2 linked regions of the Tribolium castaneum genome follow. The protein of the gene in region 1 interacts with the protein of each later gene in a biochemical or structural test. Links are inferred from orthologs where the notes say so. Each region holds a gene or a part of one and is shown on either strand. Other genes may lie near its edges.

Region 1 (5,803 bases):
GCGGTGTTCCTGCCTCAAAACGGGTGCTTGGGGCACATTTTCGCGGATATCTTGCCTCAAAACAGGAACAGGTCGTTCCGGTCTAAAGTGCACCTGACGTTGTTCCTCCTCAGGTGCAGCTACAGCTTGCCCAACTGCTGATTGGAGAACCGAAAGTCCCAATTTGTTGACTTCATCGTCAAAATTACTGTTATTATTTATTGGGATGTTTTCTTCTTCTGGTTCTTCGACAACAGGTCGGACAGGGGCTGGGACTGCGTTAGTTATTGGTGGAGGTCGTCTCAATCGAGGTGGGGGGCCCTCATTTTGGATCCTTTGCTGTCTGAAGGGAGCTGGTCTGCCTTGGGGGACTAAAATAGCCCCCGGGATGTTTAGTCGAGGTGGGAGTTGGCCCGAACTTAATGTAATCTTTGGATAATTAAATAATTTAAATATTCATCATTTTATTTGTAAAGAAAGTGGAACAGTTTTGAAATTTAAATAAGTTATGTAAGGGAGTATGTAACCACAAGCTTACGTATTATTTAATTTTTTTTTTGATGTTGTGGAGCGAAATTGGTGAGTAAAAGTAAAGCAAGGTTGAAATTTCTAATGTAAAGAACACTGTTATGCCAAGGATGATTGGCGCCTAGAGCCAACTAAAGAATTCAATATGGAATATTATAAAAACAACCCTATTTTTTTATCATTGACGAGCCGCACATGCTTGTAGATTCGCCTAATTGCCACAGAAACGTGCCAAAATTTGTACGTATCCATGGTAATAAGAAGATAAAACCAGTGGCGGGTCATTTCGGTTTACTTACAAAAAAAAGTAGGCACGTAACGCACGTTAACACTGTCATTTTTTAAACTTGTGGACGACTGAAACCTGGTGCAAGGTGGCAAGAGTTATAAATAAGCCGCGCCCCTCTGTGCATTCTCGTCTTGTGGCCAAGCCCAATATTGCAAACTGATTGACTTTCACACTGGACTTTTGGATCTTTATCGAAGGAAAAATTGTGTTTTTGAAAAGACAAAAAAAGTGGTCTCAATGATCAATTAATAGATTTTTGTATGTGTCGGTGAAAACTATTTCGTATTCGGAAAGTGTCAATCGTTTGTTTTTTTAGCGCCACCGCAGAATGATAAAAGAACGAGCGAATTTAACGCAAGGGAAAGTGCATGCAAATTTCAATTTCGTACGTGTTGGTACGAAAGAAAGAAAGATCTGAATTTTTCTACCAAAGGTCAAGAGTTAAATAAACTGTGTCATATGCGTTACTGGTTTTCCGAAAGTTCGTTCGCCTCGCGAAAAGAATGAATTACTTGTAAACAATAAATAATTCATTAATTAATTATGTAGTAATTGTGGTTTATGTAATTTGGTTATGAATATTATGGCACGCGGGACACTTTTCGGAGATTATTTCCGCTTTCACTGCGATGTACTTGAAGAAATAGTTTTGGTTGCGAGATAACCTTCGCGTTAGCTCTCGCAAACACAAGTAATTTGCTTCAATAATAATACATGGAGCGAATAAGTCAAGAAAAAAATTGAGGGACTTGCTATCTAGAGCTCCAAAACTTAGAAAACAACTGCCAACTGGAAAGGAAGACCTGATATTGTCAAAATAAAAGTCAGTTCAATTTAAATAGTTTATTTTATCGTAAAAAATACAAAGCGGGAAGTAGTTACGCTACTTTATCCCACCTCCAAATTGTCCCGTCATCACACACACATAATAAAATATTGGCGTCTCTACTGAGACTAGTTTGTCGGATTGCTGTAGCGCATCTAGGGTGCTGTAGAGTGTAACATTTGGCTTGAGCTGGATCATCAACGTCTAAATCCCACACAAAAATTTTGCCAGTCTGATTACCCAAAGCCAAAATCTGTAAAACAAACTAATAATAACGAATTAAAAAGCAATGAAAAGTATTACTTTTTGCCAAAAATCCATAGCAAATCTCACAAACCAAATTTCACATTCTTTGTACTCAAATCTGTGAATGACAGTGGACGTGGTTTCACCCTTTCGCAAATTATCATCTTCCAGACGTCCTGGCTTCCAACACACGATGCAGTTTTCGCACGATTTACTCAAAACAAAATCACCAAACCAACGCACGCAATCTACGTAATTTCTAAAAAAAAATATTAAAAGGGGAAAACCTCATTAATTAATTGATAAAACCTGTGAATGTCTCTAGTGGAAAAGTCAGGGAAATGTTCCTTTAATGAATTGAATGGTCTTGTGCTCTTAGTCGTGTTCCATTGGTACGACTGTTTAATAGCCTCCCTCATACTCTCCTTGTTTAATTTCCATAATTTTAACGAGTGGTCCATGCCACAAGACATGATTCTGTTGCCCAACAAGTCAAAATCCTAAATCACCAAACTCACTTTGTTTTTTTTTCGGATATTGTTACCAATAAAAATCTTAAGCCAACTTACAGCACTTAAAACCTCATCTCTGTGCCCCTCAACACCCCCAAAAATGGCAATACAGACATCAGTCTTAATATTCCACAACCTCAGAGCGTGGTCTTTGGACACAGACAGCAACAAATTGGGGTCTCTTGGATGAAACTTCAACTCGTTAATCGCATGCCCATGGCCTATATAATGCCTCATGCAGGTCATAGACGCCGGATTCAAAATCCTAACTATGCCTCTTGAACCAGCAACCGCCAAAAGGGGCTTCCCCGTCTCTTCGTCATAAGTCCAGGCACAAGTGTAATAATTCTCATCTAACTGATTTATTAAGAAGCCAAACGATGTGAATCAAGTCAAGTGTCGTGTAAAAAAGGATACATCAGGATCAGCAAAACACTGCAAAAGCTTGATCCCATTCCCCTCAGGACACTCATAAATCGTAACCCTGTTACTCCCAACGGCTGCAAAAATCAGCGGTTGGCCTTCTTTCAAGTGGTGGTTGAACTGGGTGCCAAAAAGTGGCTGTCCATGATCCTCCTTAATATTACACCTAATAAAACACCAGTAAAAAAACACCACTTAACCTCATCCAAACTCACGTAAACTTGTAAATCGGTTTGGGGACTTTAAGCGGGTTGAATTTTTTCTTACCCCGCCGTCCTTTCCGCACCCTGTTTGTGGGGGTGTCGCTCCTGGACGTCGTCGAAGTGCTCCCAACACTTGAGGTCTCATCCTACTAATATTACAGGAATTTGCCTCAAATGTGCGTTAACTTACCGCCTCATCGCCAGAGTCTTCTGTTAGGTTCGAGTTGGAGTCATTGACCGCCGGATTCGACTTTTCCTTCATGATAAAAATGTAAATTAAAATTGAAAATAAAGCCTAAAGCCTTACTTCACAACGGCTGGGGGAGGACGCCATTGTTTCCATTGTTGAAAGCGCGCCATCAAAGTGTGCAACACCGAAAAGTTAAAGTTACTGTTAAATTTAAACGCGAGATTAGGCCTTTTTGCCTTCAATTAACCATTTCTTTTCAAACAATTGTGTTATTCGTGTTAGGAGTGTGTCTTTCAGAGTTTCAAACACAAAAAATTCGTGAAACGTTAGCAGAATGATTTGGCATAACCTTAACCTTGACATTTGTCACATTTATTTGACCACCAGTCTTCCTTGGAGTGTATGTGTAGGTCATTTAATTAACATAACGAATTTAAAATTCATTTATTTCAGTTCCATTCTAAAGAAAGACACGAAAATGGCAACTCTAGGGAAGAAGTTGGTGCAACAGCTCAAAAGCAAGGAGTTTAGGGAATATTTGATGAGGTTAGTGCTTGTTTGAGTCGTTGTTTTACTAAAAGTGTGTTATAGCACGCATTTTTGGGGGCCTGTTGCCAATTGGGGCATACCTATAGCTGCAATCGCTGATATATCGAAAGATCCCAAATATATCAGTGGGAAAATGACCATTGGTACAATTAACTTGTTTTGGAGTTTGGTGAACTAATGTTTTTTTGTAGCGTTGTGTCTTTATTCTGCTATGTTTATGCGATTTGCTTGGAAAGTGCAGCCCCAAAATATGCTGCTTTTTGCCTGTCATTTCACTAATGAGAGCGCGCAATTAGTGCAATTAAGCAGGTTTCTCAACTATAACTACCTCACCAAAAAAGAGGGCAAAGAAGAAGTTAAGTAATTAACGTGATTTTAGGTAATTAAATTAGCTGTGTAAAGTGTTCATTTGTAAAAAGAGGTTGTTGGTACGTTAGATAATTAGATAAGGTTTTTATTACATAACTGTGTAATGCACTGCTCAATTTACCTACCTTGGAGACCAAACTGAAATTTAGGGACTGATCTGAGAGTTATTTTGTTGGTATATACATGTTATTTGTATATTTTTGGAAATAAATATGTCTGTTTAAAATTGTCGCTTATTTATCACCCTGCGGGAAATGTCAAAACTTTGTCACAAATTCGATGCGTTTTTCGAAAATCCTGGGCTACATTTTTGCCGTCTATTGTGTGCTTTTTCTGGCCGTTTACATCGTGTTCGTGCTAGTGTTGCAGTACATTTACAATTATTTGGAGGAAAATATCTGAATTGAAGTGTGTTTTTTGTTGTTGTTTGGGTAACAAAACAAATTGTGTAGTACATTTTGTGACAATGCTCATTAAATAAATTCAAAACGAGAGGATTTTTCAAAAGTTTTTTACCAAGATCAAATTTTTTGGTAAGTGAATAGTGTAGTTTAGATGCTTTTGTAGAAATTTGGCGCTTTGGTCGGTCGCAAGCCGGGTTTTAGGGCCGTTTTTCTGCCTTATTTGACATTAGAAAATTGTGTTTGAAAGAGGTTTAGTTTCCCTGGAACTGAAACTTTTTTTAATCGAACTCAAAGCCCACGATCTCACCGAAATGAAAAAGATTTTCTTGTAAAATCGTTTATTAAACTTAAATTATTGTAATCAGATTGTTAAAATAACGGACGGAGAAATTAATAAAACAGTAATAAAAAAATCGGTTAATTGAACAATTTCTTGTTCAATTGTGCACTTAGGAATAAAAAGAATATCAAAAATATGTACACGTACACAACTCACGATCGCCCAACAAATTGCAACACGGCCTATAGTACGATTAAGTGCACAACAAGTACACAATATAACATACAAAATATTTTTTGTACCAAAAACCTACAACTACAACTGAAAATGGACGGTAAAACTATAAAATATCATCAATAAGGCACTTGAAAGGCCTTGGATTTCAAGTCATTGGTTTCAACTTCTGCCATACAAACCGAAACTAACAAATATCAGCAACAAAACTGTAACGATACTAACTTGAACACTGCTAGCGCCAGCTAAGCGACACTTGAACATGTCAAAACGTGTCTCATTATTATCAACTAAATTACTAAATTCGGCTTCCAACACTTGGCCGTCGTAATAAGTGATGAGATCTTCAAACGGATATTCGTAACCTTGCTTACACTCACACTTGTAGCCGCCTGTTTCGAATCCACGGCCCAAAATCGGAACACACTGAAAAAATCGTCACTATAACACCATACTTACGAAACAATAAAAAAAACTTACATATGAGTTTCGCAAATCGCACTTGTGTGTGTTTTTGAAGGCGTTTGGAACGTAATATCTGTCGGGACATTGGTTTATATCAAGTTTTAACAAATCCATTGATACGGTGACCACGCCCCTGCAATTTTTTTATTAGATTACGGAATGTTTGCGTGATAACTTACTTGAATTCGAGTTTGACTTTTAGACTGTCCCAACCGAAAAACGGTGCCGCGTATTTAATCTTCCACATGGGTTTTTTACCATCGCAATCGTAATACGGTTCGGTCCATAAGCCGTGCTTTAATTGGG
Region 2 (5,347 bases), on another chromosome or scaffold:
CTGTATAATTTATTAATTAACTTGCTATACACGATTTATTAATGAAATGCCTTTCTTTAATGTTAATCAGTTCGCCAAGGCACTCTTCGTGAATACCTGCCTCCGAGCAACACGCAAAAACCACGACCATTCGAACCACAAGGCTACCCCCCATCTGGGATCACCCCCCAGCCCCCGTTCCCCATCTACACCAACCCCACGACAGGATACCCCTCCCCCACCAACGAGATAACCCCACCTCACACCGGCCCCCCGCAACCCCCTTTCACAGGATACCCCACCACGGGATTCCCCGGAAGCACGGGATTCCCAACCCAACGCCCGACAGGGTACCCCACCCAGAGACCCACCTTCCCGTCCCAAAGACCCGGATTTCCCACACAACCGCCGACAGGGTACCCCACCCAAAGGCCGGGATTCCCCACACAACCCCCGACAGGGTACCCCACACAAAGACCCACTTTCCCCTCCCAAAGGCCGGGATTCCCCACACAACCTCCAACCGGATTCCCCACCACTCAACCTCCCACTCCTGCACCGACGTACGGTCCACCAATCACAACACCTCAAACCTCCACTGGTACCCCAATAACCTCGGCCCCCTCCACTCACTTTACCTCCCCTGCCATAACAACCGAAGCCACGCCCTCGCCCGAGGATAACAACATAGTGCCAACCACGCGGCCTGGACCCACGGAAATCCCCCAAACGCCACAGCCAGGCGTACCAACTGATGAGGATTTGAAACACCCGCCACATATTCACGCAATTGATGTCGAGTGCGCCAAAGACATGATGACCATCACGATTGAATTTAACCGCGAGTTCAATGGAGTGATTTACTCCAAAGGCTACTACAACATGCCTGAATGTCGCTACGTGAACGAAAATTCCGAAATGACGAAATACCGCTTCACCGTCAGTTTGAACTCTTGTGGGACTGAATTTATCAACGCGTTTGATACTCAAGGACAGTCGTACCTGGAGAACGTCCTCGTGATCCAAAACGAGCAAGGGATCCAGGAGGTTTGGGACACAATCAGAGCTGTGAGGTGCCTCTGGGAGGGCAACCTGAAGGACTCCCTCAGCGTGGCGCTCAGCGTGGGGATGCTAAGCCAGGAGATTGTGACTTTCAGTGGGGACACCGCCATGGCCAAGCTGGACATCCAACTGGGCAAAGGCCCATTCGCGCCCCCGGCCAACGGTTTGGTCAAAATCGGGGAGCAAATGACCCTTGTTATCTCCGTGACCGGAGACCCCGGTTTTGACATCCAAGTCAAAGACTGCAGGGCTACGGACTCGACCGGCGACCGCGTGTACCCCCTAACCGACGAAAACGGCTGTATTCTCAAACCCAAACTATTTGGCGCGTTCCAAAAAACACGAAACACGGGAAATACCGGCGCTTCCATCATTGCCTACGCGTTTTTCAACGCTTTTAAATTCCCAGATGTGATGGATTTGATGATTCAGTGCAACATTGAGCTTTGCAAAACCGACTGTCAGGTGTGTCCAGAGCCCAACCAGCAAATCGAGCCTGGGAGGAGGCGCAAACGTGACCTTTCGTACTATAATAACACTGACGGGGTCACAATGGGGAAGCACCTGAGGGTCGTTTTGGCGGAGGATTTGAACGATATTGGCAATACTGAGGCCGCGTTTGAGGGGGAAGTTTGTATGACGACGCAGAATTTTCTACTAGTTTCGGCGATTTTGATCTCGCTACTCACTGCCAGTAGTGTACTAAGTGCTTGTCTCTGGTTGAAGAACCAACGGATTGCTCACAAAGGGTGACAACTTTACCACAATCCTGCCAATGTAGTTCCGTCCATTAAGTTATTGTGACTCCAGTATTTTATTTAAGTTTTTTAATTATCGTAGGCCCATATTTATGTAAATACTTGACTAATAAAGTAAGAATTTTGTAGCGTGGGGTTTTCTTTTATCAAGGTTGACGACAACGACAGACTAAATTTGTTTAATAAAAAAGCATAATTTTTTTGTATGGGACTTTATTGATTGAAATTTACATAATTTGAGGCGTAAAACTAGTAAATCATTACGATTCATTGTAAGCGATTAGTTCATAATACATATAAACGAAAAAAAAAAATGGTCTGGGTCAGGGTTTGAACCCATAACTTTTGAGTTGGTGTTGATCAGTTGATGATTCCTCGGTCATAAGCACTTTCGTACTACATAATAGCAGGTTTTCTCAAATCAATGCGGTGCCAAATCGGTACAAAAAGTTTAAAACAGTGATTTTATAACAAACAAACGATGGGCTTATTATTTGGGTGCGTTTTAATGTCGTTAGATTGACAAATAACGAGGTTGTTTTATTCGGCCTTGTGCAACTTCGGACGTAGCGTTATGTCACCTGCCAAAAAAGCGACAAATGGCAAACCATTATGAGGTGCCAAATTGGTAAATAATCCTTGAAAAATTGTGTTATTGGCCCCTGAACCCCTCACTTATCATTTCGCCCCCTTTTCTGTCACACAATCCACAAATCGTGTGTTTTTGTGTGTTGAGGTTATGCTGTTTCAGGGCAGGCAAGCCCCCCGTGGGTTTGCATTTGGACGTGCTAAAGGGCGACAAACTAATACAAAAATTGATGATCGACGACAAAAAGTGTTACTTATTTGGACGCAACGCCCAAATGAACGATTTCTGCATCGATCACGCGTCATGTTCGCGGGTTCATGCAGCCCTCGTTTGGCACAAACACTTAGATCGGGCGTTTCTGGTGGATTTGGGGAGCAGTAAGTGTCACGTGTGCGCAACTTAGGGCTTTTTTGTGTCAAGACTTGGATAATTTGCGTTGTTTTAGCCCATGGCACCTTCATAGGATCATTAAGACTTGAGGCGTATAAACCCACTCAGTTGCCTATTGATTCTAGTTTTCACTTTGGGGCGTCCACGCGAAATTACACGATCAGGGAGCGGCCCCAGACGGGCATGCGGCCGATCATTGACGAGATCGAAAAGGCGGGCGAGGAGACCGAGGGCGGATTGCTGGGGCTCCCCGAGACCGAAACGGAACTCGATGTAAACCACCCCAACCAGCGAAGCTGAGAGCTTTACAAAAAATATTTTTTTCCATAGAATTTGACGGAATTTAACACCGCCCACAACCGGCGGATATCAATGCTGGGAATCACCGACGACACGGAAAAACGCAACACCAACCGGAAGCGCAAACGCCAAGTCGTTTCCTTCAACGAGGACGAAGAGATCATAAACCCTGAAGATGTGGACCCGAGTATCGGTAAATTCCGAAACTTGGTCCAAACCACCGTTGTACCTTCAACCATCAAGAGGGCCAAATTCGCGGCTGAGAATATCGGAATCCCCACTGAATACAAAAATCCCAAAATCCTTCATCCCTCCGCCCCCGATTTGTACACAGACCTGCCCCCCGAATCCCACTCTCCAACCAGTTCAGGGAATTTAAGCATTTACAGTTCGTTAAGTTCACGCCTTGGAATGGTTTTACCCAATCCGGCGCCAGATGTCGACATGGGACAGAACTTCGCCCCGCCCACTCCCTTTGTCCCGCCCCAAGTACAAATTGCGGACGCCATGGAGCCCAAGAAAAAGAAGTATGCCAAGGAGGCGTGGCCTGGCAAGAAGCCCACGCAAACGCTATTGGTCTAGGATTAGGTGTAAGCTTTTGATGTAATTTTCTCAAGGTCATAGATTAAATATTCAATAAAAAACGAAAAGTAGTTTCTTTTATCGAAAAACATGGCGAAATAATTTCTGAATTCTGGGAAACAGTTTCAAACTAACACCAACTTGACAAAAATAGGTTTTTTATTTCACTACTTGATGGAATGCAAGGCACTCTCGATTGAAATATCAATCAAAAAATTAATATTTAATAATGGACAATACCTCTGCTGGCACCTTCTCCCGGCCTTTGAGCCCCTCGAGCTCCATTAGAACGAGACACCCTGCGACTTCGCCACCTGCCCCTCGCACGAGCTGGCAGGCAGCCCCTAGACTGCCCCCCGTGGCTAACAAATCGTCCACAAGCAGGACGCGTTGCCCCTTACTTATGCTATTTTCCTGAATTTCAACAGTGTCATGACCGTACTCGAGAGCATACTGCGCCGACAAAATTTTCCCCGGTAGTTTACCCTTTTTCCGAATTGGAACGAAAGGTATGTTCAAATCAATCGCCATCAACGGCCCCAAGAGAAACCCCCGAGCATCCAATCCCACGATACATTCAGCCGGGGGCTCAATTTTGCGTGCAAAAGACACCAAAACGTCACGTAAAATTGCAATGAGTTCAGGCTTTTGGAACACTGAAAACAAGTCCCTAAAAAGGGGTAATAGGCGAACTTGGGGGCGCGTTACCTGAAGAGGATGCCGGGTTTGGGGAAGTCGGGGTAGGACGTCACGTTGGCTTTAATTTGGGCGATTTTTTGGTCGAGATCAGACATTTTAGTGGAATGTTTGCGAAGGGGGGCCCGCACACTTGTCACTAATAAACGAAAAAAGAGGCAATTTAATCAATTATTTATTATTAATAGCCACAATAATTGATAATTACCATTTAATTTGTATACAAATTTGAGGTTAAGGGCACATTTATTATTATTTTTCGAACTGTGATGTTTGCGCCAATCACAGGCCGACTTTTCGGAGCGCGATTCAAAATTTGACCGCAAATTGCCATAATTTGGCACTTTTCTGACTCCAAAATGAGCAGAATCCCTAATGGAAGGCCACAGCCCCACAATTTATTATGTGGAAACGATTTTGTTGTTTAGTTTAGTTAACTAGAGTGCTTGAGGTTAGGGACCCAATTTTTTATGCTTGACATTTCGACCAATCACGCTAACGCACCTCGAGCGGGCAATTCAAAGTTCAACTTTATATAACAATTTTTCAGGGGTAAAGACAAGACAGTGGTAACGATTTTCGCATTTATTTGTTTTATTGCAGTGCAAAGCTGGGACATTTGTAAAATAAACATTACGTAACGGCAATAACGACTCACTTTTCCGTTTAACGGAACTCAACTATTTACATAAGAAATGAGGCGAACTCACAAGAACAAATAAATTTATTACATAAAGTTGTCTATTATTAGTCTATTAAGAGCAACTAGCATATTACAGGATTATACAGGAGCTTTGTGGACCAAGTTGAACCAGTGCCCACACTCGCATCTCCGGGGCTGCCCCTTGTAGAGCCACATCCAGTTGACGCTGGTGGACTCCTCCTCGCAGATGCAGCCCACAAGTCTGGCATCAAAAGCTGACGGAATTTCGTTGGGTTTATCCTTGGTGCCTGGGCCCCTTTTGATGACTTTCAGGTCGAAAGGGTTCTC

The links.
Region 2: the proteins of escl (region 1) and NiPp1 form a complex in vitro, tested with the Homo sapiens proteins (2 studies listed by BioGRID). The link is inferred for Tribolium castaneum from reciprocal best matches to the Homo sapiens genes EED and PPP1R8.

The regions. Positions count from the first base shown.
Region 1 is NC_087397.1:436,496-442,298, forward strand, and holds escl (polycomb protein EED), read right to left. Parts: upstream 3,454-5,803; 5' UTR 3,350-3,453; coding exon 3,314-3,349; intron 3,263-3,313; coding exon 3,197-3,262; intron 3,153-3,196; coding exon 3,019-3,152; intron 2,970-3,018; coding exon 2,798-2,969; intron 2,738-2,797; coding exon 2,438-2,737; intron 2,369-2,437; coding exon 2,178-2,368; intron 2,128-2,177; coding exon 1,926-2,127; intron 1,876-1,925; coding exon 1,675-1,875; 3' UTR 1,625-1,674; downstream 1-1,624. Other genes in the region: uncharacterized protein LOC662631, read right to left, coding at 1-408, 807-845; Mpc1 (mitochondrial pyruvate carrier 1), read left to right, coding at 3,675-3,742, 3,788-3,888, 3,937-4,109; uncharacterized protein LOC662535, read right to left, coding at 5,195-5,458, 5,513-5,630, 5,677-5,803. UniProt on the Homo sapiens protein: Polycomb group (PcG) protein. Component of the PRC2/EED-EZH2 complex, which methylates 'Lys-9' and 'Lys-27' of histone H3, leading to transcriptional repression of the affected target gene.
Region 2 is NC_087396.1:21,736,990-21,742,336, forward strand, and holds NiPp1 (nuclear inhibitor of protein phosphatase 1), read left to right. Parts: upstream 1-2,171; 5' UTR 2,172-2,398; coding exon 2,399-2,427; intron 2,428-2,550; coding exon 2,551-2,765; intron 2,766-2,833; coding exon 2,834-3,051; intron 3,052-3,108; coding exon 3,109-3,660; 3' UTR 3,661-3,728; downstream 3,729-5,347. Other genes in the region: EGF-like domain-containing protein 2, read left to right, coding at 71-1,794; Aprt (adenine phosphoribosyltransferase), read right to left, coding at 3,877-4,330, 4,369-4,454; cytochrome c oxidase subunit 5B, mitochondrial, read right to left, coding at 5,138-5,347. UniProt on the Homo sapiens protein: Inhibitor subunit of the major nuclear protein phosphatase-1 (PP-1). It has RNA-binding activity but does not cleave RNA and may target PP-1 to RNA-associated substrates. May also be involved in pre-mRNA splicing.